7 linked regions of the Oryctolagus cuniculus genome follow. Each later gene encodes a partner of the first gene's protein in a complex. Links are inferred from orthologs where the notes say so. Each region holds a gene or a part of one and is shown on either strand. Other genes may lie near its edges. The genes, in order: TMEM17, TCTN1, TMEM231, CEP290, MKS1, B9D2 and TMEM107.

What was found.
Region 2: TMEM17 (region 1) and TCTN1 share a complex: the UniProt entries of both Homo sapiens proteins name them as parts of the tectonic-like complex. The link is inferred for Oryctolagus cuniculus from reciprocal best matches to the Homo sapiens genes TMEM17 and TCTN1.
Region 3: TMEM17 (region 1) and TMEM231 share a complex: the UniProt entries of both Homo sapiens proteins name them as parts of the tectonic-like complex. The link is inferred for Oryctolagus cuniculus from reciprocal best matches to the Homo sapiens genes TMEM17 and TMEM231.
Region 4: TMEM17 (region 1) and CEP290 share a complex: the UniProt entries of both Homo sapiens proteins name them as parts of the tectonic-like complex. The link is inferred for Oryctolagus cuniculus from reciprocal best matches to the Homo sapiens genes TMEM17 and CEP290.
Region 5: TMEM17 (region 1) and MKS1 share a complex: the UniProt entries of both Homo sapiens proteins name them as parts of the tectonic-like complex. The link is inferred for Oryctolagus cuniculus from reciprocal best matches to the Homo sapiens genes TMEM17 and MKS1.
Region 6: TMEM17 (region 1) and B9D2 share a complex: the UniProt entries of both Homo sapiens proteins name them as parts of the tectonic-like complex. The link is inferred for Oryctolagus cuniculus from reciprocal best matches to the Homo sapiens genes TMEM17 and B9D2.
Region 7: TMEM17 (region 1) and TMEM107 share a complex: the UniProt entries of both Homo sapiens proteins name them as parts of the tectonic-like complex. The link is inferred for Oryctolagus cuniculus from reciprocal best matches to the Homo sapiens genes TMEM17 and TMEM107.

The regions. Positions count from the first base shown.
Region 1 is NC_091433.1:140,426,351-140,429,014, forward strand, and holds the end of TMEM17 (transmembrane protein 17), read left to right. Parts: intron 1-1,227; coding exon 1,228-1,506; 3' UTR 1,507-2,164; downstream 2,165-2,664. UniProt on the Homo sapiens protein: Transmembrane component of the tectonic-like complex, a complex localized at the transition zone of primary cilia and acting as a barrier that prevents diffusion of transmembrane proteins between the cilia and plasma membranes.
Region 2 is NC_091452.1:8,276,571-8,280,070, forward strand, and holds part of TCTN1 (tectonic-1), read left to right. Parts: intron 1-1,549; coding exon 1,550-1,670; intron 1,671-3,500. UniProt on the Homo sapiens protein: Component of the tectonic-like complex, a complex localized at the transition zone of primary cilia and acting as a barrier that prevents diffusion of transmembrane proteins between the cilia and plasma membranes.
Region 3 is NC_091449.1:57,934,800-57,938,905, reverse strand, and holds the start of TMEM231 (transmembrane protein 231), read left to right. Parts: upstream 1-1,306; 5' UTR 1,307-1,409; coding exon 1,410-1,548; intron 1,549-1,641; coding exon 1,642-1,811; intron 1,812-4,106. UniProt on the Homo sapiens protein: Transmembrane component of the tectonic-like complex, a complex localized at the transition zone of primary cilia and acting as a barrier that prevents diffusion of transmembrane proteins between the cilia and plasma membranes.
Region 4 is NC_091442.1:90,786,509-90,790,008, reverse strand, and holds part of CEP290 (centrosomal protein of 290 kDa), read left to right. Parts: intron 1-842; coding exon 843-1,015; intron 1,016-1,652; coding exon 1,653-1,815; intron 1,816-3,264; coding exon 3,265-3,365; intron 3,366-3,433; coding exon 3,434-3,500. UniProt on the Homo sapiens protein: Involved in early and late steps in cilia formation. Its association with CCP110 is required for inhibition of primary cilia formation by CCP110.
Region 5 is NC_091448.1:33,643,763-33,647,778, reverse strand, and holds the start of MKS1 (tectonic-like complex member MKS1), read left to right. Parts: upstream 1-1,216; 5' UTR 1,217-1,293; coding exon 1,294-1,373; intron 1,374-1,740; coding exon 1,741-1,850; intron 1,851-3,306; coding exon 3,307-3,377; intron 3,378-3,776; coding exon 3,777-3,932; intron 3,933-4,016. UniProt on the Homo sapiens protein: Component of the tectonic-like complex, a complex localized at the transition zone of primary cilia and acting as a barrier that prevents diffusion of transmembrane proteins between the cilia and plasma membranes.
Region 6 is NC_091449.1:13,268,852-13,272,922, reverse strand, and holds the start of B9D2 (B9 domain-containing protein 2), read right to left. Parts: upstream 2,801-4,071; 5' UTR 2,573-2,800; intron 2,499-2,572; exon of another isoform or gene 2,277-2,498; intron 2,204-2,276; 5' UTR 2,200-2,203; coding exon 2,112-2,199; intron 1-2,111. UniProt on the Homo sapiens protein: Component of the tectonic-like complex, a complex localized at the transition zone of primary cilia and acting as a barrier that prevents diffusion of transmembrane proteins between the cilia and plasma membranes.
Region 7 is NC_091448.1:52,667,230-52,671,191, reverse strand, and holds the start of TMEM107 (transmembrane protein 107), read left to right. Parts: upstream 1-1,162; 5' UTR 1,163-1,387; intron 1,388-1,608; 5' UTR 1,609-2,982; coding exon 2,983-3,069; intron 3,070-3,184; coding exon 3,185-3,247; coding exon of another isoform or gene 3,248-3,252; intron 3,253-3,343; coding exon 3,344-3,444; intron 3,445-3,962. UniProt on the Homo sapiens protein: Plays a role in cilia formation and embryonic patterning. Requires for normal Sonic hedgehog (Shh) signaling in the neural tube and acts in combination with GLI2 and GLI3 to pattern ventral and intermediate neuronal cell types.

The sequences.
Region 1 (2,664 bases):
TTCTCTCAGCACCGCATCAAAGTGCATCAAGGTTTTCATAACAGGTTAAAGGCAGTGAGGTGTGGTGGAAAGACATAAGCCTGAATTTAGTCCCTGGCTCCAGCTTTGCTCATCTGCTATCGTGGTCTCTTTGCTTAATCTCTTGAGCCCCGGTTTCATCATCTTTAAGATGGGGAAAATACACTTCACGGGCTTGTTGGGATTAAGTGAAATGACTGATATCAAGTCCCTGAATATAGTAAGCACTGAAGAATTGATAATGTTCTTCTCTCCTTATCAGTCTCAAAGATATTTGGTCAATTGACCATGTTAATTTGGATCCTGAATGAGAAATCAGGAGAGAAAGGGGAGTTATAAACGAATTTCCTCAGCCAGGCCCGTGTTTTCTGAGTCGTTACGCTGCCTAAGCATTTATGGTTGCCAGGGTGTGGGAAGGATGCCTGAAGAGGTTGTGGTTTTCTAGGCCTTTCATAACGATGCTCCACCCAGCCCATCTTAGTGTTTTGCTTGGTATTTCTTAGCCCAGCCTTCCATTCCAGGTTGATGTGTTGGTTCCCAGTCATGCTCCTTTCACATGCTTGCTTACTTACCTTCTTGCCTCTTCCTCCTTTTGCACAACTTCCAAAGTTTATATCCTCAGGGCAGGCATTTGGCCTAGTAGTCACAACACCAGCTGAACCACTCACATCCCGTATCTGAGTGCCTGAGTTTGAGTTCTGGCTGTGCTCCTCATTTCACCTTCCTGCTAATGTTCACCCTGGGAGACGGTGGGCAGGTCCCTGCCACCACATGGGAACCTGAATTGAATTCCTGGCTCTTGGCTTCCACCTGGTCCAGACCTGCCAGTATCTGGAGGGTGAACCAGCAAACACAAACTCTTTTTCTCAAATAAAATAAATAAGTAGTTTTTGAATAAATAAAGCCTACATCCTTATAGTTTTTCTTTCACTTACACCAATCACTGTGTTACTACTTGTACCACTTAGTCCAATATCTCTAAATTCTGCAGTTAAATATTCAATGAAGTTTTTAGCATTCTAGGACTGTTTCATATAAGCTAGTTTTCTGATCTATACTGTAGGTTCTCTGAGGAGAAGGACTACATCACCCTCCTTTTGAATTATTCAGAGTCCATAATGTAGATCCTTAGTAGTGTTAAATCCTTGTTTATCTGTGTAAGCAAAACACTGCATTGGCCTGATCCTTTTCCTCATCATGTCATTGCAGGTTCCTGAGTTGGCTGGCTTTTGGCTTTTGAGCCTTCTGCTGCAGTTGCCTTTAATTCTTTTCTTGCTTTTTAATGAAGGCCTAACAAATCTGCCCTTGGAAAAAGCAATACATATCATCTTCACCATCTTCCTTACTTTCCAAGTTGTTTCAGCATTTCTTACCTTGAGGAAAATGGTCAATCAGTTGGCCACTCGTTTCCACCTCCAAGACTTTGACCGGCTCTCTGCAAACAGAGGAGACATGAGAAGGATGAGGTCATGTATAGAAGAGATTTGACCCAGTGCTGCTGAATGAAAATCTCAAAGTTGATTCTAGAAGACTGCGAGAGTTAGGAAAACATCAGAGACCTAGCATGAGGAAAGGTACAAGGGAAGTGTGTTTACTCTCAAGCTCTGAGTCCCAAGGACAGGGGCAGTGATAAGGCTGTGCCATGCATGAAAGCGGCGTATGAACACTGAAACTTAGATGCTGTCCACCTAATGCCAAATTTCTTTGTTGTTTGATGATGTTGGTCTTTTTGAGTGTGAAAAATTCTGCGTGGTAGTTGTAAGTTTACCAGTTTTACTGTAACATTTCCATTTCAGATCTGTAACCAGAAATGTGTACCTTTTAAATGTGTCAGTTATCCATATCTTGACTGTGTATCAGACCATTTTTCTTGAAGTGCATGGAAATGCTGGTCAATATTATTGTGCATCAGACCATATTTATAAACCAAAAAACAAAATTTTTGTATTTGCTGTGGTTAACTTCTAACCCTAGTCTTAGAAGGTATACTGATGTAAAGAAGAAAACAGATTATCATGGTATTAAGGAAATATTTTTGTCAAAGAATTATAACTTTCATAAAACCATGTTCAGTATTTGTGTGGCAGTATGCAAAATGTTTTCATAATAAATTATCAAATATTTATGGTAAGCTATCAGCAACAAACAATTCCTGTTTTATATAGATCTTTTGGACTATGGGTTTATTATTTCACACTACAGAAATGCAGGAGAAGGAAGGGGAAAGATTTCAGAGAACCTTCTTTGTAATGAGCACTCTAATAGGCACATTAAATTTAATTTTGTGTTCTCATGTACTCATCATATTCACTGAAGAACTACTTCATATCCATTAAATTAACATGAAGTTTTATTTGGAAACCAGTCTGTTTATATATATAGCAAGAACTAAGATGGCCAAAGGAACCACACTCTTCATTTTTTTTTTTTAAGATTTATTATGTATTTGAAAGGCAGAGTGAAGGAGGAAGAGATAGAGAGAGAGAGATTGATCTTCCATCCACTGGATGGATGTCTCCTCAAATGGTTTCAATAGCTAGGGCTGGGGCAGACAAAAATTAGGAGCCAGGAATTCCATCTGGGTTTCCCACATGGGTGACAAGGGCCTAAGCACATGGGCCATCATCCACTGCCTTCCCAAGTGCG
Region 2 (3,500 bases), on another chromosome or scaffold:
CCGCAAACGCCAGGAGCTGGCTGGGAAGAAGCCAGGAACTCAGTCTGAGTCTCCCATGCGGTGGTAGGGACCCAACCATCTGAGGCATCGCCTGCTGCCTCCCAGGGTGCACGCTGGCTGGAAGCTGGACTGGGAAGCAGAGCGGGACTTGAAGCCAGGCGCTCCTGCGGCCCAGGCAGCATCCTAGTAAGCGTGCCGAGCATCGGTCCCGTCTGCTGAATTGTTAAGGTGTTTGACAGGATGAAACTCGGCACTGAAAGTCCAGGTTATCATTGTCACTTAAAAGCTGCTACCCCTCGGGGGCCGGCGCTGTGGCATAGTGGGTAAAGCCGCTGCCTGCAGTGCTGGCATCCCATATGGGTGCGAGTTTGAGTCCCGGCTGCTCTGCTTCTGATCCAGCTCTCTGCTGTGGCCTGGGATAGCAGTGGAAGATGGCCCAAGTCCTTGGGCCCCTGCACTCGCATGGGAGACCTGGAAGAAGTTTCTGGCTCCTGGGTTTGGATTGGCCAGTTGGGGAGTGAGCCAGTGGATGGAAGACCTCTCTCTCTCTCACTTTTTCTCTCCCCCACTCTCTCTCTCCACATACACACACTCTCTGTCTCTCCTCTCCTGTCATCTCTCTCTGACTTTCAAATAAATAAATAAATCCTTTAAAAAAAAAGTTGGTACCCCTCGCTCATGCATTATTGTCTGAATTACCAAAGATATTCCAGCACTTGAGCAGGTTTGCTGCTTGCCTAAAAGCCTGTGAGTGTGAGTTCGACTTCAGAGTTGCAGACGTAAGTGAACAGTGAGGCACCACTGAAAACACTCTCTCCGTGCGGGCGTTAGGTGGTCCCCCAAATTGTGTCCAGAGCAGAGGCTTAGGAGCCTGTGATTGTGAACTGCTGGCTCTTGTGAGCAGGCAGGGGTTTCACGTGTGCTGGCTCTTTGGCCTGCTTTTCTTTTCTTTTTCTTTTTCTTTTTTTTTTTTTTTTTAAGATTTATTTTATTTAGTTGAAAGACACAGTTACAGAGAGTGGTAGAGACAGACAGAGAGGTCTTCCATCCATTGGCTCACTCTCCAGATGGCCGCAACGACCAGAGCTGCGCTGATCCGAAGCCAGGAGCCAGGAGCTTCTTCCCGGTCTCCCACGCAGGTGCAGGGGCCCAAGCTCTTGGGCCACCTTCTGCTGCTTTCCCAGGCCCTAGCAGAGAGCTGGATCGGAAGAGAAGCAGCTGGGACTAGCACCAGTGCCCATATGGGATGCTGGTGCTTCAGGCCAGGGCTTTACCCGCTGCGCCAAAGCACCGGCCCCTCTTCGGCCTGTTTTGAAAATTACTTATGTTTGGGTTGCATATTCACTTACCACATCAGGTGGAGCACAAGCAGAACTCCCTGGGTGAGTCCTGGTCAGCCGCTGTGGGGTGCTCCGCCTGACCGCCTGCTGCCCACCCCACCCCACAGTGCAGAGAAGCGGTTCTTCTGGTGACGCTGGTGTGTGGTGGTGGCGGGGGCAGTCACCTCCTGCTGACTGTGCTGCTGTGACCCCTGCCCTTCTCCCTGCAGTCGCTGCTCTGTGTGTGTGTGACCTGTCCCCAGCACAGTGTGACGTCAACTGCTGCTGTGATCCCGACTGCAGCTCCACGGATGTTAGCGTCTTTTCTGCCTGTTCAGTTCCAGTTGTCACGTAAGTCTATGACACGTGCAGGTTTGACAAGATTTGACCAGGAAAATAAAATTTGGGGAAAGTGAAAACTTCCCCAGACTGGAAAACCCAAACCTGATTTCCTATAGTTTTCACCATTCAGAAGCTGTGTTGTCCAAAGCAAGATGTAAATGAGTAGCTTTCTCTTATTTGCATCCAGCCAGAGAGTACAGGCAAAAAAGAGAGTGAAATCTAAGGAGTATGATGAGATCTCTCAGTGTTTGGAGGTAGTCATACTCCAGTTTGACTTTTTCATATTAGTGAATTAGTCTCGTGTGTAATACAGGCTGACAATTGTAGTTTATACCTTTTTTTAAAAAGATTTATTTTAATTATTTGAAAGGCAGAGTTACAAAGAGAGGGAGAGACACACAGAGAGACCTTCCATCTGCTGGTTTACTCCCCATATGGCTGCAATGGCCAGGTCTGGGTCAGGCCAAAGCCAGGAGCTCCAAGCTTCTTCTGGGTCTCCCATGTGGGTGCAGGAGCCCAAGCACTTGGGCCATCCTCCACTGCCTTCCCGGGCCACAGCAGAGAGCTGGCCTGGAAGAGGGGCAACCGGGACAGAATCCGGCGCCCCGACCGGGACTAAAACCCGGTGTGCCGGCGCCGCTAGGTGGAGGATTAGCCTAGTGAGCCGCGGCGCCAGCCCTCAAATAAATAAATATTAACAAAACAAAAAACAACCAACACTTGGAAAAGATTTATTCAGGGTAGGATCAATTCATTATTCAGAGAAAGCTAATTTAATTTAACTTGATAGTTTTAGCAATTTATACTTGGCTGATTGAACCCTTTATAAATTTTTAAATGTGTTTCTCATTGTATTTGAAAGGTGGAGAAAGATCTTGCATCTATTGGTTGACTCCCCAAAGGCCCACAACAGCCAGGGCTGGGCCAGGCTGAAGGCAGGAGCCAGGATCTCAATCCAGGTCTCTCATTTGAGTGGCAGGGACCTAAGTGCTTGAGTTGTCGTCTTTGCCTCCCCAGGTGCATGTTAGCAGGAAGCTGGATTGGACCCAGGTGCTCTGATATGGGATGCAGATGTGCCAAGTGGAATGCCCCAAATGCCTGCCACCCCTGGCCTTGAGTGAATCCTTTTTAAAAGTATAATGGGTTGGGGCCGGCGCTGTGGCGCAGCAGGTTAAAGCCCTGGCCTGAATTGCCGGCATCCCATATGGGCACCGGTTCTAGTCCTGACTTCTACTCTTCCGATCCAGGTCTCTGCTATGACCTGGGAAAGCAGTGGAAGATGGGCTAAGTCTTTGGGCCCCTGCACCCAGGTGGGAGACCTGGAAAAAGCCTGGCCTAGCTCCTGGCTTTGGATCAGCGCAACTCTGGCCGTTGTGGCCGTTTGGGGAGTGAACCAGTGGATGGAAGATATCTCTCTCTCTCTCTCTCTCTCTCTCTCTGCCTCACCTCTATCTGTGTAACTAACTTTCAAGTAAATAAATATATCTTTAAAAAAAAAGTATAATGGGTTTTATTCTGTTAGGATCTTTTTTTTTTTTGACCATTGGGAAATCAAACCTATTTTTAATATTGTAAAAACTGTTGAAGAATGGGTTGTTGCAATTAGGTTAATTTTCTTCTGGCTACTTGGACTACAGCTTGAGTCTATTGAAAATCATTCTGCTTGGGGCAGGTAAAGCTGCCTCCTGTGAGGCCAGCATCCCCTGTGGGCGCTGGTTCAAGTCCTGGCTGCTCCACTTATTTTTTTTTCTAAAAAAGATTTATTTATTTATTTGAAAGGCAGAGTTACAAAGAGGCAGAGAGAGTGGGGGTCTTCCATCTGCTGGTTCATTCCCCAAA
Region 3 (4,106 bases), on another chromosome or scaffold:
ATAGCAGAGAGCTGGAACCGAAGCAGACAGTCAGAAATCGAACTGGCACCCATATGGGGTGCTGGCCCTGCAGGCGGTGGCTTTACCCACTACACCACAGCACCGGCCCCCACACTGACTCCTGATCCTGCAACTGGAGTCTTCAGGGCCTTTGGATGGAGAACTTGGCTGTGGACCATTGGTTTTATTATTTATTTTTCTTTTTTTTTGTTGTTTGCTTACTTTTTTTTTTCTTTTCCTTTCTTTTGGATCATAGGTTTTAAAAATCCTTCCACCCTGTTCAAAATACTGGCTTGGCAGAGAAGGCGGTGGGCAATCAATTAGCAATAAACCAATGTTATCTTTGGGAAGTACGACTTAACCCACTGGGGCAGCACTGTGGTGCAGCGGGTTAAGCCACCATCTGCAGGGCCAGCATCCCTTGTGGGTGCCAACTGAGTCCTGGCTGCTCCACTTCCAATCCACTTTCCACCTGGGAGAGCAGCAGAGGAGGGGCCAAGTGCTTGGGCCCCTGCACCCCAGTGGGAGACCCAGTTGAAGCTCCTGGCTCCTGTTTTTGGCCTGGCCCAGTCCTGGCTGCTGCGGCCATTTGGGGAGTGAACCAGCGGATGGACGATCTCTCTCCCCTTCTCCCTGTAACTCTTTCAAATAAATTATTAAACCTTAAAAAAAAAAAAAAAAGGCTTAACCCACTGCACAACACGTCCCAGAGGGGAGTGCCAAGTCCCAGCTGGTCGGCTTCCACTCCAGCTTCCTGCTCGGGCATCCTGGGAGGCAGATGATGATGGCCCAGATATTCAGGCCCCTGCCCTTAAGTGGGAAACCCAGAGGGAGTTCCTGGCTCCTCGGGCCATTTGGGGGAGCGAACCAGCAGTTGAAAGATCTCTGCCTCCCTCTGTCACTCTTTCAAATAAATATTTTTAAAAAGAAATGTATCTTGTTTAGTAGCTCCCTCTGAAACCGGCAGCCGAACCTGCACCCAATACAGGTAACAATGTACGTAGTAATGACCCTGCCCGCCCCAGAGCCGAGGGTTTGGGTCCTGTGCGCTGTCCTGCTTCCGGAGCCACAGAACACAGAGGCGGAGCAACCCGGCCTTGGCCTTCGTCCAGGACCAGGTCGAGGAGCGAGGCCACGCGTGTGCGACCTGCGGGCATCAGCGTGGACCACTCAGCCGTCCTCAGCCGTCCCGAAGCAAAACACGCAACGCCCCCCTCTCGGTGGCCCGTCCACTGGCTGACCACGCCCCTCTCCAGGTAGCTCCGCCCCTTCTAGAGGCCCGCGCCGCTACTATTGGTCCTCCTCCCGGCGCCGCCGGTTGCCGTGGAGACCACGACGATGGCAGCCGGGAACAGCCAAACTTGGTCGTCCCTTCTCGGTTTGCGTAGGGGTCTCGGCGTGCGCCGTCCATGGCGCTGTACCAGCTCTACTCCCACCCGGCCGAGCGCGGCTACCGCGCGGGGCTCTGCTCCAAGGCAGCGCTGTTCCTGCTCCTGGCCGCCGCGCTCACCTACATCCCGCCGCTGCTGGTGGCCTTCCGGAGCCACGGTGAGCTTGCTAGGCCGGTGCGCGCCACCGCCTCCGCTCGGGACGGCCTGCCTGACCTGTCCCCCTCTCCCTCTCACGCCCTTCTTCTCTCAGGGTTTTGGCTGAAGCGGAGCAGCTACGAGGAGCAGCCGACCGTGCGCTTCCAACACCAGGTACTGCTCGTGGCCCTGCTGGGACCGGAGCGCGACGGCTTCCTGGCCTGGAGCACCTTCCCCGCCTTCAACCGGCTGCAGGGGGATCGCCTGCGCGTCCCGCTCGTCTCGGTGCGTGGCTCCCGCCTGGAATTCCGCTTCCCCCAGACGCCCAGGTACCCGGGCAGCGCTGCGTGCTGACCCGGGCCGGGCACGGTGCGCGCTCGGGGTCCCGCGGTGTCGCCGCGTTCACGCGGCGCGGCGGAAGCTGGGGGTCGGGGGCGGGCGTCTCCGGGCAGGACTGACCCTCGGAGACCGGGCGCCCCGCACCTGTTCCCCGGCAGGGCCCCGGCGGAGGGAGCCTGCCCCACGTGATCTCAGAGGCTGCTCCAGCGTGCATCTGTCCGGGGTAAAATTGAGACTTTTTCTTTAAGAGGGCCGAAACTTCTAGTTTTCCTTCTTCCACGTCCTTGAGGTGAGTGGCCTACAAGACAAACTCGTGTAAAAAATGTTCCCAGCAAAAAGATGATAGGTCGTATGAATAACTAGAAAGTTTGTTACAGATAGTTTTTCTCTGGTTACTTCTGAAATTTATTGGCTTTTTTTTTTTTTTAAGATTTATTATGTATTTGAAAATGAGAGTTGCACAGAGAAAGGAGAGGCAAAGCGAGAGAGAGAGAGGTCTTCCTGATGGTTCACTCCCCAGTTGGCCGCAACGGCCAGAGCTGCACCGATCCAAAGCCAGGAGCCAGGAGGTTCTTCCAGGTCTCCCAAGTGGGTGCAGGGGCCCAAGCACTTGGACCATCTTCTACTGCTTTCCCAGGCCACAGCAGAGAGCTGGATCGGAAGTGGAGCAGCCGAGTCTCAAACCTGCACCCATAAGGGATACCGGTGCTTCAGGCCAGGGCGTTAACCCGCTGCGCCACAGTGCCAGCCCCTATTGACTTATTTTAATTAGGAAAGTACCCAGTTTCCCACGTCGGTGTCAGGGGCCCAGGTACTTGGGCCGTCTTCTGCTGCTTTCCCAGGAACAGTGGCAGGAAGCAGGATTGGAAGTGGAGCCGCCAAGACTTGAACCGGTGCCCATAGGGGATGCTGGCGCTGCAGGCAGAGGTCAAACCCACTGTGCCACAGCACTAGCCCCAGGTTTTTTCTCCACATGTTTATATTCCTCTCTATCATGTGCTTCTGGTCATTTGAGTCTAAGAAATACCATGCAGGCTTGAGATAATTGTGAAGACAAGGATAAACCATTAAGTTTCATTCATTCATTGTTTTTACGGGTTCGTGCAACACAGCTGCTGTTGGCCTCTTAGCTCTGCAACCAGAAACCAACCACTCCCTTCAGTGCACCGCCCTGGTCCCCCCTTGCATCTGGCGTGCAGTTCCAATTTTAATGAGAAGCCAAAACTAACTCTTAATGTTTATGGTACCCATACCATGAGATCACTTTCATACTGGGTAATTTTGGGGCTGGCACTGTGGTACAGCGGGTTAAAGCCCTGGCATTCCATATGGTCACTGGTTCGAATCCTGGCTGCCCCACTTCCGATCCAGCTCCCTGCTAATGTGCCTGGGAAAGCAGTGGAGGATGGCCCGGTGCTTGCGGCCCTGTATCCATGTGGGAGACCTGGAATAAGCTTCTGGTTCCTGGCTTCAGCATGTCCGAGCCCTGGCCATCGTGCCATTTGGGGAGTGTACCACCGAATGGAATTTTTTTTTTTTTTTTTTTTTTTGACAGGCAGAGTGGACAGTGAGAGAGAGAGACAGAGAGAAAGGTCTTCCTTTGCCGTTGGTTCACCCTCCAATGGCCGCCGCGGCCGGCGCGCTGCGGCCGGCACACCGCGCTGATCCGATGGCAGGAGCCAGGAGCCAGGTGCTTCTCCTGGTCTCCCATGGGGTGCAGGGCCCAAGCACCTGGGCCATCCTCCACTGCACTCCCTGGCCACAGCAGAGGGCTGGCCTGGAAGAGGGGCAACCGGGACAGAATCCGGCGCCCCGACCGGGACTAGAACCCGGTGTGCCGGCGCCGCTAGGCGGAGGATTAGCCTAGTGAGCCGCGGCGCCGGCCTCGAATGGAATATTTTCTTCCCCTACCCCCTACAGCCAGTGCGCCACAATGCTAGCCCTGGTTCTTAATTCTTTTTTTTTTTTTTTTTTTTAGATTTATTTATTTATTTGAAAGTCAGAGTTACACAGAGAGAAAAGGAAAGGCAGAGAGAGAGAGAGGTCTTCCATCGCTGGTTCCTTCCTCAATTGGGCACGACAGTGAGAGCTGCACCAGTCCAAAGCCAGGAGCCAGGAGCTTCTGCCAGGTCTGCCACACAGGTGCAGGGGCCCAAGGACTTGGGCCATCTTCTACTGCTTTCCCAGGCCACCGCAGAGAGCTGGATTGGAAGTGGAGCAACTGGGACTCGAACCAGCACC
Region 4 (3,500 bases), on another chromosome or scaffold:
TTCCCTCTCTCTCTCTCTGTTCCTGTCTCCATCTCTCTTTGTAACTCTGCCTTTAAAATAAAATAAGCAAATTTTTAAAAAAATATTTTCTGGGACTGACATTGTGGTACAGCAGATTAAGCCACTGCTGAGGGAACTGGCAGTGCTGGTTGAGTCCCAACTGCTTTCCTTCTGATCCAGCTCCCTGTGTAATGAGCCTGGGAAAACAACAGAAGATGCCTTACCAAGCACACAGGAGACCAGGATATAGTTCCTGGCTCCTGGCTTCAGCCTGATCCATTCCCAGCTATTGCTGCTGTTTGGGGAGTGAACCGATGGATGGAAGATCTCTATCTCTATTTCTCCTTCTCTCTGTGTTACTCTGCCTTTCCAATAAATAAATAAATAAATCTTAAAAAAAAGAAAACATTAAAAAAATTTCCTAAATTTGCACATGAATTTTGTATTTATATCTGATGAATGACATTACCACACTTAGCTGCTGGAGTGTAAGTGGAAATTTAGCCTTTGTTTTGGATGACCATGTATCCTATCAAACATCCATACCTCTGTTATAATGGAAAAAAGGGACATTGAATATTACAACTGCTATCTTCCACAATGATCAATCCTCATAAAACAGTGTTCCACAACCTTCTATCATCCATACCCTTTCAGCTAAGACAGTTTTACTGAGCTTTGCTTTTTAGTTAATTTTCTTAATAAAACCAAAACAAACTTTCATGTTACAAATATAAAATTATAACATTAAGGATGCTTTGTTAGTAGTATAATACTGAGGAGTTATTTAAAAGAATGAATAGTCAACTAAATTAATAAATGATGTTTGTTTTACCCTGTAGGTGCTTCTACCCTTTCTCAACAGACTCATTATATGAAAATTCAGTCAAAGCTACAAATTTTAGAAGAGAAAACTAAAGAGGCTGAGAGAACAGCTGAGCTGGCTGAGGCTGATGCTAGGGAAAAGGATAAAGAATTAGTTGAGGCTCTGAAGCGGTTAAAAGATTATGAATCGGTATGTATTTTTATCTTGTCAATCAAGGAGCTTAGAATTATTCTTGCTGCGCACAGTTTGGTGCCATTTACTGCATACCATTTAAGAAACATTACATAAGCGTCTTTTAATAAGGGTTATCCTAATTAATTTGATAAAAGAGTTTGCCCAGATCATCAGCTTTGGTGAGGCAGTAGGATTAGATTCTTTGTTATCTGTGTCCGTTGTGCCACCATGTAGATGTGACATCACTTGCTATTTTGACAAAATTTATGAGACGGACAGTTTTGTTGCCTGCCATGTCAACATGAGCTGCTTTGTATTTTTTATATTTATTGATCTGATTATCAATGAAATAAGGAAGCTATTGATTTACATATTCTGTTAGTATTGTTAATGTGATTTTTTCCCAGTATTTTGTTAAGAGTTTTATATAGAACATTCTGAATCACTTTGCCATTAGCACGTTGTACTTGGAAGTTCCAGCTGTTCTATATGCCTTCATTATTATTACTGGATTTATAAAGCACCCCCCAAAAAAACCGTGTAGTGATATAAATCATAGATATTGTACATTTCTCATTAGACTTACTAATAAATTCACAAATTTGGTACATTTATTCAAATTATGCTTTATATTAGTTTGGATATTTTTCAGGGTGTATATGGTTTAGAAGATGCAGTTGTTGAGATAAAGAATTGTAAAAACCAAATTAAAATAAGAGATCAAGAGATTGAAGAATTGACAAAGGAAATCAATAAACTTGAATTGAAGATCAATGATTTCCTGGATGAAAATGAGGCACTTAGAGAGCGTATGGGTAAGCTTTTTTTTAAGATACATAGTTTTCTCAACTCTTTCAAGTCTTTTTTGGTTTGCTTTTTGCTTATTATTATTTTCAAATTGTTGATTTTTTTTCCAAGTATATATTTCTAGAAAAACATTTAAAATGAATGAAATGGAGCCTCTCTGATTGAAATGGGATTGGGGATTTCATGGGGTAGGTATGATAGGTGGGCAGATAAATAATTTTTTTATTCAGTCTAATATCTCCTCAGTAATTACTGCTTAGTTAAGAATGAAAGTCAGTTGTATTAATACAATATATCAGAAGTTAGCATTTTTTCAACAAAAGTAGGGATTGTATGACCCATGTTAGTCTGCAGAATGTTATTGTTTCAGATGAATTATGAGAACCTTGAGAAGTACTATATAAACCTTTTAAGACTTTTAAAGACTTTTACGGATTTTAGGATGCTTTAAGTTTTATTTTAGTTAAGTACGAGGTTTCAATTCACTAGGAAGTAATTCATAATTATGGCATGAAAGTTTACATATTAATTTCATAAAATTCATCAGTGAATGTTAAATTACTGCAGCCCAATCTAAGTTGCTTCTTTAAAAAAATAAAAATCTAAATATTAAATTTATTATACCTGCTAAATATCAGTTAATGCTTTCTTAGAGTTATATTGACCATTTATAAAAACTTTTCTGTGAAGGAAGGAAAGGAAAATATTTTATATATAGATTATTTGTGGAAAGTATCTAATTAGAACCCAGATTTATATTAGGACCCCAAGTTAGACTTCTCATCAACTTGACCTATCAGATCATAGCCAGGAATCTGGCAGTTCTTAAAGATGACTTCTGAAAAGTAGCTGTCACAAACGCCAGAAATCTGTTTTTTAAAGTCTCCAAGTCTTGGTTTATAACTATATTTATTAGACCATTTTAATATATATTTTTTAGAGTATAGATGCATAGTGATAGCAAGTTAGGAGATGAGCACACTAAAAAACTAATAATGATAATAAAATTGATATTAAAATTAATACTTATTGCTATGTGCAAGGCAATATACTGAACAATATTTGAAATAATTTCATTCCCCTGATAACAAGCCAAAAAATAAATACAGTATTATGCTTACAACTTAGGTACTAGTTAAAAATAGGAATTAAGCCACCCAACTCTGATTTGTTCCTAAGCTTCTCTTCTGTAATACATTATAGAATCTCTGTAACAGCATGACATGGAGAAAAAAGATCCCGATATGTTCTTGTCAGGAATTCCATTAATAATTATAGTAATATATTAACTTGGGTTATACTTCAAATCTTAAAAATTCTTGCACACAAAAAATACTGTCTGTGTTCTTCAGTCTTAATGGCTGGATGAATGATAACCAGTTGCTTAGTGGTATATGACATTTTTGTATTTCATTTGAAAGTTTTTAAGCTTTTAATTGTGTTGCTTTCTATTTTAGGCCTTGAATCAAAAACAATGATTGATTTAACCGAATTTAGAAACAGCAAGCGATTGAAACAGCAGCAATACAGAGCTGAAAACCAGATTCTTTTGAAAGAGGCAAGTGTTGTGTTTGACTGTGTTCTTGGTTGAATTAAAGAGAAATACTAATGATTCATACTTCACAGATTGAAAGTCTAGAGGAAGAACGACTTGATTTGAAAAGAAAAATTCGTCAAATGGCTCAAGAAAGAG
Region 5 (4,016 bases), on another chromosome or scaffold:
TTAAGCCCTTGGCCTTCACTAACTTCATCTGTTAAATGGGAATAAGGGGCCGGTGCTGTGGCATAGCGGGTAAAGCAGTTACCTGCAGTGCCAGCATCCCGCTTGGGCACTGGTTCTAGTCCCGGCTGTTCCACTTCTGATCCAGCTCTCTACTGTGGCCTGGGATAGCAGTAGAAGATGGCCCAAGTCCTTGGGCCCCTGCACCCGCGTAGGAGACCTGGAAGAAGCTCCTGGCTCTGGGCTTCAGATCAGCAGCTCCAGCCATTGCGGCCAACTGGGCAGTGAACCAGTGGATGGAAGACCTCTCTGTCTCTCTGCCTCTCCTTTTCTCTGTGTGTAACTCTGACTTTCAAGTAAATAAATAAATCTTTTAAAAAAATAAATGGGGATAAAAATGGACTTAGGGTTTCCATGAGGATTGGGAACAATGCCAACAAAGTTCCCAGGCTAAATTAGCTCCTACCTAAATGGTGCTATTTATGGAGAGTCCTTGGCAAGGCACAAACAGCAGCTATGGCACCCCAGGTGTTCAAGGCCATGCAATCAAACTGATTCCTGAATTCAGGGGACAACTGCTAACCCTGTTGGGGAAGTAGCAGATGTTAAAGGGAGCCAGCTGAGGTTAGGGCATGTCCTGAATGTCACTCTGTGGGCTTCTCAGAGGGCCAGGGCAGCACAGCAGTTAGTTTAATAATCTGGAACTAACACACAGGGGAGGAACCTGTGCCATGACTACATCTCTTCTTTCCTGCTGCTGTCTTCCTTGTTTTAACTGTTGGCCCTCCCTGTTTTTTCCTTCTCTGGCCCAGAGAATACCAACACAACGACTAATAAGTAGGACACCCGCACCCCCCCTCCCCCGCCCCTTGAAGAATGTGCGTTCGTGTCTGGGGAGTGCCACCACCTTCCCTGATTCCTTTGGGATTAATGGGTGCATTCTTTCAGTCTCCTCCGCCCGTTTTTCTTGCGTTCAGCGGAAGACAGTACGGCACAGTGGGAAAACAGGTCTAGTCTCATCACCCTGCATTTACGCCAAGTGGGCTGACGGCTGTGCCTGGCCCCTCATTTGTACAGCGCCTTAAGTCCCGCCTCAGGAGTGAGTGATCCTCGTTCGCACAAATGGTAAAGCGGACATTCGCAGGCTCCTGCACTGCCCGCTCTGGGGCGCTAGGGGGCGACGCCGCGGCGGGAAGGGCGGGTTGCGTGCGTAGCGTCTCCGCCCCAGCGTCTGCGTTGCCAGGGGAACTGGGGGCGGTGTGCTTTCCGGCGCAGTCGTTGCGCGTCGCAGATATCATGGCGGAGACCGTCTGGAGTACTGACACCGGGGAAGCAGTGTATCGCTCCCGGGACCCTGTGCGCAACCTGCGCCTCCGGTAGTCGCGCCGCCCCAGCCCGGGGTGCTATGCTTTTATGCCCTTCGAGCCTGAACTTGTCGTTCTTCTGAGGCCCCCACTTGCGCTTACAATCCCGATCTTCCTCCCTGGTCTCTCTACATCGCTCTGCATTCCCCAGATCTTCTGTACGTAGGGCTTCCAAGCTCGCCTTCCACACCCAGCCAGGTCGTTTCAAGGCCTGTCGCTCTCCGATTCCTCAAGCCCTGGCTCCGCAGTAGTCCTCTCACCCTCTCTTCCCCGTAGGGCCCACGCCCCACCCGGCGCCTGCCCTGTGTTTTGTATTTCCCATGCTTGCTCTGCGTTGTGTGTGTTGTAACGCGTATTCGAGCTTCTGTTTTCTTCACAGAGTCCACCTGCAAAGAATCACCTCAGGCAGCTTTCTTCATTACCAGCCTGCGGCCCAGCCTCGGAAGGACCTCATAGACTTGGCCACCTTCAGGCCTCATCCCACTGCCAGTGGGTGTCACGGTGGAGTCGCAGCCCCCTGGGGACCTGGGCGAGGGAGGGCCTGGGGGGTAGAGGTTCCCGTTAGGACAGAAGAGACCCAGGCCTGTGGTGTTCAGAGAAAGCTGCACCTTTTTTTTTTTTTTTTTTTTTTAAGTATTTTTATTTCTTTGAAAGACAGAGTTACAAAGAGAGGTAGAGACAGAGAGAGGTCTTCCATCTGCTGGTTCACTTCCCAAATGACCACAATGGCCAGAGCTGAGCTGATCCAAAGCCAGGAGCCAGGAACTTCTTCCAGGTCTCCCATGCGGGTGCAGAGGCCCAAGGACTTGGGCCATCTTCTACTGCTTTCCCAGGCCATAGCAGAGAGCTGTGATTGGAAGAGGAGCAGCCGGGACACGAACCGGCACCCATTTGGGATGCCGGCACTGCAGGCTGGGGCTTTAACCCACTGTGCCACAGCGCCGGCCCCAACTGCACCTTTCTTACCTAGGAGAAATGGAAGGCAAAGAGATTGTGTTGCTTGCCTAAGGTCACATAGTTGGAGCCTGCACTTGAACCAAGGTGGTGTTAACTACTTCATCGTGTTATTTGTGGAAATTGAATAAGATACGATTCCTGCTATCAAGATACTGAGGCAAATTGTGGTCCAGTATAGTGGCAAAAGACAGATAGCGTATATCTGATGTTATAAATGGGCCTGGCAACCGTACCATTTATGGCTTTTTGTTCGTTTGTCTAAGAAAGATATGCTCAAACTCTACATATGCATGTAAATACTTTTAAAAACAATTTTACGATTGAAGACTGCTTGCAGACTGTGCGTTTGAACACCCACAGTGTTCTTGTGGTTCTCCTTATCTGGGAAGCCATAGGTGTGAGGAACAGAGGCTGGTGCTTGTATTGGGCCATTAGTGTTTCTGCCTTTTGTTTCTCTGCACTCAGAAGTATTCCTCTGTGAAATGGGGGTTTTGAAGCTGTGTCTCTGAAAAAGATACTCACCCCTGGAGTGTGTTAGATCTGGTTCTTTAACAAATCATTTATTTGCCTTCCCTGCCCTCTCCTGACACTTGGTCTCTGACATGATTGTGATTCTAGCTGTATGGCTTCAGGAACAATTAAAATGAAAATGCCAGGGTTCTTACCTAGCAAATGCAGGCAGCTGGCATTGAAGAAGAGCTGGCTGGTCAACCTATATCCTAGGCTCAGTTCCTGACAATGAGTTAAATTGACTACTTCCTGGAAGGCAGAACTACATTTTATTCAAATTAGAATAGTGATTAAGACTTTGTGGGTTTTAATCTTGGCTTCAACTCCTGCTAACTCCAGTGTATCCTTTGTCTACATTGAATGCTTAATAAATCACTGAACTCCTGCTGGTTTTGTGGCAAACATAAGAGTAGGGGCTTTGGTTACAATCAACCTCAGAGCAAGAAATGGTGGTGACGTAACTCTGTTGTCTTTGCAGGTGGACATCGCCCAGAGGAAGATGAAGATGAGGAGGTGGTCATTGGGTGGCAGCAGAAGCTCTTTAGCCAGGTGAGCCGGTGTCGTTCACTGCGTGGTCTCCCTCCACCTGGCTGGTTGTACATTGCCAAAGTGATTTCTGGGATGGTCGTAGCAATTTGTACCTCCCTCTGTTGTGTTTACAAGGGCAGTGTAATATAGTGACCGCCACCGCTCAGTGTTATGACCCTGGGTGAGGCACGTTTCCCCACCGTGGACCCTACGCCACCTATAACAATGCGGTTGGACTAGAGCTTCACCCCTTTGCTCTCTAACATTCTTGGGTCCCCTGCCCTCCATTGGTTTAAATCTATGAGAATTAATTATGGAGCTATGTCAGATAATATCAGCTCTCTAGGACTGATTTGGTAGTAGTTCTAGGATCAGAATTTTGAGGTATCTCGGATGTCTGTTTCCTTGTGGCGACCTCAGTTTGAAGTAGATCTGTACCAGAATGAAGCAGCCTGTCAGAGCCCTTTGGATTACCAGTACCGGCAAGAGATCCTGAAGCTGGAGCAGTCGGGGGGCAGGAAGAACCGACGAATCTTTACCTACACCGACTCTGACCGCTACACCAATTTGGAGGAGGTATTGTTCTTCCCAAGGCCCTGTAGCTTCCTTCTTTGCCTCCCCTGGCTTTTTGGCTTCACTGGGTTCTGGGTGCTAAATCGG
Region 6 (4,071 bases), on another chromosome or scaffold:
GGGAACACAACCCATGTCTCCTACGTAAGCGGGAGGAACCCAGTCACTTAGGCCATCCCTGCTGCCTGCCAGGGCTGGCATTAGCAGGGAGCTAAGCCAGCAGCCAGGTGTGCGGCGGGATGTGCAGGTCCTAACCCCGAGCTAAACACCCGCCCTCTATAGCCATTGCCTCTCTCTCTCCCCAGCACTGTCGCCACTGGAAATCACTGAGTTAAGTTTCTTCAGCGGCTTATATAGTGTCTGACGCTCGTAGAATGAGCTTCAGGAGAGCTTGGCCCATGCACATGGCGGGATCCCCAGTGCGTGGTATACAGAAGGTGGTCGATACATATTTTTTGGGACAATTAAGTGACCCTAGAAGCTATGTGTGCTATGATTACCATTTTCCAAGTACAGAAACAGGCTCTGAGAAGGAAGTCACTTGGTTAATTATTCCATGAACATTTATTGAGCACCTAGGGTATGCCAAGCCTGTTCTCCACTCTGGGGATACAGCAGTGACCACAGCACCCAAAGATCCCCAAGCGCAGAAGTCTGTAAAATGTCCAACTGCAGCGACCAGGCCCCTCGGCCACTGTCTCTGAGCTCCCTGCTGGATTCAATGCCCCAAAGCCACCTGCGATAATAAAAGCCAAGCATGACTCCCTCTGGCCTTGGTGAGGGAAGCCCTGAGTCAGGCTGCGTAGACACAAGATTACTTAAACAGCCCCAAGAAAAGGACAGCAGCCCGGGATCACAGAGCAGGTGAGTGCTGGGGTCCCGGGTAGACATGGAGTCTGACTCCTGAGCCCGACTCTGATCCTGCGACTTCACCCATCCAAGTCAGGTCCAAGGGACCCAAGCCCGAGACGCAGCCACGTCTACCTCATAGGTTGTTACTGGGGCTGGGCAGCCACGTGCCTGGGCTTCACTAATGGGACCCTGTCGGAGTCACCCGCGAGCCAGGCACACAGCACCAGCCAGCCCTGCTCTGCGTGCTGCGCATGCTCCCCTAGGCCTGGCAAAGATCCGCGAGGCACACGTTGTTACTGCTCCCATGTGCACACAAGGAAGCAGACGCACAAACAAGGCCCTAACGTCACCTATTAATAAGAGGCTGTCTACGGTGCCAGCTTCCCACATGGGCCCCATTTGAGCCCCAGCTGCTCCACTTCCGATCCAGCTCTCTACTATGGCCTGGGAAAGCAGGAGAAGATGGCCCAAGTGCTTGGGCCCCTGCACCCACGTGGGAGACCCAACAACTCCTGGTTCCAAATTCGCTCAGCTCTGGCCGTTGCAGCCATTTGAGGGATGAACCAGCGAATGGAAGACTCTCTCTCTCTCTCTCTCTCTCTCTCTGCCTCAGCCTCTGTAACTCTGCCTTTCAAATAGATAAATAAACCTTAAAAAACATAAACACCTGGTTAGGACCCAGGCAGTCTGTGCTCCTAACCTCGACGCCACACCGCCTCTCAGCTGCTATCCACACCGTGCCGTTCCTCTCAGACAAGGAGACCGAGGGCTGGAGAGGTCAAGTCCAGAGGCCACAGATACATACATGGGGACTTAGTATCTGAACCCAGATGTGGCTGCCTATGACCCTGGCCATCACACTGCACCTCTACAAGGTCTGGCCTCCATGCAGACCTACAGAAACACTGGGTCTCCAAGTCCCTGCTGGGCCGTGTGGACTTGGATGATTGCTGCCTTCTCAGAGCGAAAGGCATTCTGACGACAGGATGTGGCCTCTCCTCTGTAAGTCTGGGGTGCAAACTTCTACTTTACAGTAAGAACTCAATAAATGGAGGCTGCTAGTCAAAGAACGAGAAAGCTGGGGAGGATCCCAGGACACACCCCCAAGGCAGCAAGTGGAGTTAACAGGAGCGCTCTGACATGAAGCGTGTGGATGGGGTCTCCCCCTAGCCCATCATCGTCAATGGCCATGCATGCCGAGGGTGGGAGCCAGGGTCCCCGGAGACGGGGCAGGAAGGAAGTGCGGGCCTCACGCGGCCAGCCTTGGCCAGGGCCGGGAGTGCTGAAAGCCCATGGGGAGAGGAGGACCCGGGGTGGGGCGGAGGGTCCAGGGAGAGCGCGGGGTCTTGGTGGGCAGTGACCAGGCCTGGGGGGAATACCTGTGTGGATGCCCCACTTGCAGAAGAGGCTACTTTCCGAGAACCCGGTGGCCCCCATGATCTGCCCGATCACGTGCACCTCAGCCATGGCGCTGGGAGGGAAAAGAAACAATCAGCTCTGAGTAGGGAAACTGAGGCCCAAGCAAGGGGCAGAAGGCCACCAACCTGGTTTTGTCAACCCTCTGAGGATGCAGAGTTATCCACCGACTCTGTCTCCCCGGGAGATGGGGGGAGTAGCCCTAGACTTGGGAACCGGTGCCTAACTATGCCCTCCTTAAACCTCTTCCTGACCTGGCTAAGTCCCGCTAAGGGGCCGAGAGCTCCACCCACAGCCATCAAAGCTCCGCCTCCCCGCGGCTGATAGCCCCGCCACAGGCTCGACGACGCATGCGTATTGAATCGAGGCCCGCCTCCGAACACCTCGGCCCCGCCCCTACTCGTTGCGCATGCGTCACTCCTACCTCACAGAGCTTAACGGCTAGTGGGAGCGAATGCGGCAGCCGGATGCTGGTTCTGGGCCGACTCCGTCCTCTTCGCGGGCGCCAGCGACGCCGGCCTCGCGCCTCCCGTGGGACCTCCCTGACAGCAAGGGCGCTAAGGCGCGAACCTCCGCGACCGCCCTCGCCTCAGGCTCCCTGGCCGTTGCTGGGACAACAGCAGGCTCCTCCCCTGGCCTTGCCCCCGCCCTGCACGCGGCCGATTGGTGCTCGCTGTCCTCGGGGGCGGGGCAATGCCGTGATGGACATCTCTCCGTAGCCTCTCCCAAGCCCCGGCCCCGGGATCCGCCGTTGGGGGCGTGGTCGGGCAGTTGCCATCTTGAGTGTGGCCGGGAAGTTTGAGCGCCGACTGTTTGTGCTGCAGAGCCTCTCCAGGAAATGTGTCAAAATAAGCTTCGCGGCCCGCCTCCTCCCCCTAAAGAACACCTGTCTCCCGTCCTGAACCCCACATGAGAGACTTGAGCCTGAGCTCGGGGGAATTCCCTCGGGTCATTCTGTGCATCCCCCGGCCTCGACTTCGGAAACAACCTCTTCTCAGACACTCAGAGGCTGGGGCGGGGCTTCCCTTCCCTTGCGGAGTTCCCCAGGCTGCTCAAGGCCCAGCGGTCCGGGCCCTCCCAGCGACTGCACGTTCGCCGCCAGTGCTGTGAGCGAGCGGCGTCCCCGGGCCCAGCGGTCCGGGCCGTGGGGCGGGTGCACGCGGGCGCCTGAGGTCCTGAGCGCCTCTCCCCGCCTCCGCGTCCAGGGCAGCCTGGTCCTCAGGACCGGGAGTCCCGCCCAGCCGCGCCTCCTACCGCGGGGGCTGCACACGTGGAGGACCGGGGAGGCAGCAAGGTGCACAGGACAGCATGCACACAGGTAGCGCCATCCGAGAAAGAAGGTTCCTGACAGACAGCTGGGAACGCCACGGTCGTGCGTGCCTGCTCCGTGCAGCCCTGGTAACGAGGACTGCAGGGCGTCAGGTCCTGGTCCTCGCGGACACACGGGGTGGGGTACACAGGGCTTCTGCTTCATGAAGACTTGAGGCCAGCGTCATTTGCATCTATTCCCGTTTGTCCCCCATCAGGGTGAATGACAGCACCCAGCTTGTGGGATTGTTCCAGACTGAAGGAGTCACCGTCTATGGATGTCTTCAATAGGCCCGCAGGGGCCGGCTTGGTGGCGCCTGCACCTCAGAGCGCCCGCTGAGTCCCAGATTCCTGGGGTGCGTCTGAGCAGACAGCAGGCAGTGGACTCAGGAGCTTGGAGGGCGGAATGCAGCACGCGCTCCTGGCTTTGAATTGGTCCAGGCCCTGATGTTGCCCCCTCTGAGGAGGTAACCAGCAAATGGCAGATTTCCTTTTTCATTCTCTTCTCTCTCACCTGGCACTCTGCCTTTTAAATTAATACTTAATAAAAAAAAAATCAAACTACCTGCTGGCACTTTGGTGCAGTGGGTTAAAGCCAGGGCCTGCAGCGCCGGC
Region 7 (3,962 bases), on another chromosome or scaffold:
AAAGGTAGAATGAGAAGCTCGTGTGCGGCGGCGGTGTCGGCAGCGGCTGCAAAGAGAAGAGTTTGGCGCGATGTCTCATACCATTTTGCTGGTACAGCCTACCAAGAGGCCAGAAGGCAGAACTTATGCTGACTATGAATCTGTGAATGAATGCATGGAAGGTATTTGTAAAATGTATGAGGAACATCTGAAAAGAATGAATCCCAACAGTCCGTCTATCACATACGATATCAGTCAGTTGTTTGATTTTATTGATGATCTGGCAGACCTCAGCTGCCTTGTTTACCGGGCTGATACCCAGACATACCAGCCTTATAACAAAGACTGGATCAAAGAGAAGATCTATGTGCTCCTCCGCCGGCAGGCCCAACAGGCGGGAAAATAATGGAGTGGAAGCAGTAGGGGGATGGGGGTGGGCTTGGAACACAGGTGTGTACAGCGTGCTGTAGTGGGAGTTTTGTATTATAGTGATCCTGTTTCCACTTGGTACACTCTAGCCAGATTGAATGTATCAGATGAAGTGTGAGAATGTTGTTCAATCTGAAACCCCCATTGCCCCTTTTTTCTTTTCTTTTTCTTCCCTTTTTTTTTTTTTTTACTTAAACATTTTTATGAGGATTTAGATGGAATTTTTTTGTCAGTTAATGTTGGTTCCAGAGCTTCAGACTGTTGAGATCTGCTTTATAACAGTCACTGTACTAACCCTTAGAGATGGGGTGGGGGGTGGCTCAGTTTAGTTACATCCTCAAGGCAAACTCTTAGTGGAAAATAAATGTTCTTTAGTTATAAAAAAAAAAAAAGGTAGATTGAAATACACAAAAGATGTTAAAATCTATGTGGTCACCATGCTACTAAAAAGATCTAGTTGTGTTTGTAGGACACTACTGAACCGGGATTCTGAAAACTGGCAAATAATGGAAAAAAAAAAAAAGGACCCATTTATCCTGCCTTTCCTGTATGACTCGTATCTCATGGAAAATTCTTACTGATAAAAGAATTCTAGCTGGTAGATGCAGAAGAGGGCTCGAATTAGGCCATCCCCATTTTGCAATCGCTATTGAAATCATGCAGTTAGGCAATGAGGACCCGTGGTACCATTAGGTGAGAATGGATGAAGAATTTTATCACGGGTGGCTCAGCCTGACCGCACCCGAAGCCACCACTCAGACTTCAGCACCACAGACAGACAGACACACAGACAAGCAGGATTCCTGATGAGGTGAACAGAAAGTACAAACCATCCCTCGGGATGTGATCTTACCAGAAAACTGAATGACACATAGATCAACCATTAGACCTGACCATCAGTTTGCAGGAAACACAGTGCCAGGAGAGAATGAAATGACGCCACACGTGGCCCAGTATCTTCAGCAAGAAAAGAAGGAAGGTGAGGTGATGGGGAGGAGGGCAAACCCAAGATTAACAGAGATTTCAGACATGTCAGCCAAGTGGACTTTATTTGTACCCCAATGCACACGTGTGGGGTTGTGGTGGAGGGGAGGGGGCAACAAAGCTGACCACGTGCTGACAACTGTTGAGGCAGAGCAGTGGCCCTCCCAGGGGTTTGTTATACTGTTTCATTTTTACGTTGTGTTTGAAATTTCCTAGGATGCCAAAAAATGAAAAGTTTGCAAGTTCTTTTGTCACCAATTCAAATGCTGAGATACCGAATCCAGCCCTGGAGTGAGTGGCCACCTACGGGAGGACAGCTGGTCACCCGCAGCACAGCCCATGGCCACCAGCAGGCTCTAAAACCCAGGCAAGAAACGACTTTCTCTGAGGCAAGTTTCTATAAACCAAGGTTGTGGACAAGGACAAAGCAGACATAGGCTGCCCACTCCCTGTTCATGAGTCCACACCTAAGGACCTGAGAACTCGGTTTGTACTGTCTAGCCCGTCTCCTAGGCAGAACGCCTACTGAGCAGAATGCTCCAAACCTCCAGCTGTTGAACGCAAAATCCTTGGGTCACCTTGACTCTCCCTTTTCCTCACCCACCCACAGGCCCCGAGCCAGACCCTCTCCCCAATCCTTCTGCTTTGCTCCATCGTCTTTGCTTCACCCTGTCCTTTCTGGATACTTCTATGGCTTCCTCGTTAGTCTCTCCATATTGCAACCTGGGTCGTGGAGAATACGAATCTGACCACGTCGCGCCTGGTGGCTGCAAGGCCTGCCGCGACCACGCTCCACCTCCTTTTGGGCTGCCTACCACTAGGCTTTGCAGTGCAGGCTGACTTGAAGGCTGGGGTTACTCTCCTCAGAAGCGGGGAGGGAAGCCCCTTGGGTGTGCGCAAGCAGCAGGGGTCTTCCTGGAGCCCGTGCGGCCGGTACCTCGGAGACCCCGGAACCAGAGCTGAGCCTTGCGTCCCAGGCAGCTCCAAACCTCCTGTGCGGGACGCTTCGTCCACGCTCGCCCTGTCCAGTCCCGGCGGGGCCGTCCCTAGGCTGAGGCTGCCACCATCTTCTGCACTATGCAAATCCCTCACCGAACCCGGCAAAGATGTCTGGGGTGCTCCGACCACCAAGGGCTCCGTGACAACGGGCCTGCCGGACAAGGTAGGTCCAGTGAACGTTCCACGTTGGGCTCAGGGCACAAGGAAGCTACGAGGACGGAAAGGGAAGACCGCGTCTGAGCCTCCAACCTAAGACCGGCACGCCGGCCGCAGCAGTCCGCGAGCACCTCCTCCGCGGACAGGCCATTCCCGGCAATGCAGCCTGGGGCCGCGCCGCTCCGGACCTGAGCAGCCAGCGAACCCCCGGACGTAGTCCTCCGGTTAGGAGGCTGGCGGCCGCAGCGGGGTCCCCGAACACGGCGCACTTGCACGACGGCGGCTCGAGAATTTACGGCTCTCGCGAGATCTTCAGAACCCGAGGCGCACGGTCCGCGTACGCAGTTACCAAGGCAACGGGGCGGCCCCTGAGGCGCGCGAAGGCCGCGGGCCGGGAGAGGTTTCCCAGCGCCGCCGCCCGCGGCCCTGAGGAGCATGAGCCGGATCTCGGGGCTCGTGCCCTCCCGCTTCCTGACGCTGCTGGCGCATCTGGTGGTCGTCATCACCTTATTCTGGTCGCGGGTAAGACCCACGGCCGCCACTCCGCGTCGCCATCTCGCCGTGGTCGCCGCGCCCACCCCGCCCGGGGTCTCAGCCGGCCTCTCTCACTTCCTTTCCTTTTCTGCCCGCTCCCCAGGACAGCAACGTCCAGGCCTGCCTGCCCCTCCGATTCACCCCCGAGGAGTATGAGAAGCAGGACGTGCAGTGAGCTCTTGGGGGGGTGGGGGTTCGAAGGAAGAGGCGGTGGGAGTCCCGGAGGCCGGGGGTCCTGAGCCGCTCCCCTTCCTCTCTGCAGGCTGGTGGCCGCCCTCTCGGTCACCCTGGGCCTCTTTGCCGTGGAGCTGGCCGGCTTCCTCTCAGGAGTGTCCATGTTCAACAGCACCCAGAGCCTCATCTGTATCCTTTCTGCCCCCACGACCCGTTTCCAGCGCGACTCCCTTCAGCGACCCCCTTCCCCCCAGGAGCCCCGCCTCTGCTTAGGCAGTGCAGGGATTTGACACAATCCTCAAACAGTTGTGGATGCCGCTGTGCACCGGGCCCTGGAGGTAAATGGGGGTGAGGCGGAGGCAGACACACACACACACACACACACACCCCACTATCCTCTAGGAGGGGGTAAAAGAGCCAAGGATTGAGGGAGGCGCTTGACTCTCCAGTTGCGGGCCTCCTGGTGGAGAGTGATTCCAGCAGAGAGGATCAAGTCGCTGTCCGCATTCCTGTGGGGTCCATGGGGGCCTGCTCTGACCTCCCCTCGGGGGTGCAGGCTGGCCCCTCCATGTGGGGTGAGGGTAGCCTGGGGTCTCGGCAGTGCAGGCTCAGCGCAGGCCGCTACACGTGGGCCTGTTAAAATCAGAAGGCAGGGCTGCTGACTCCCGCCGTCGCACAAGGCCTGGGAGCTCCACCACTGGCCTGCC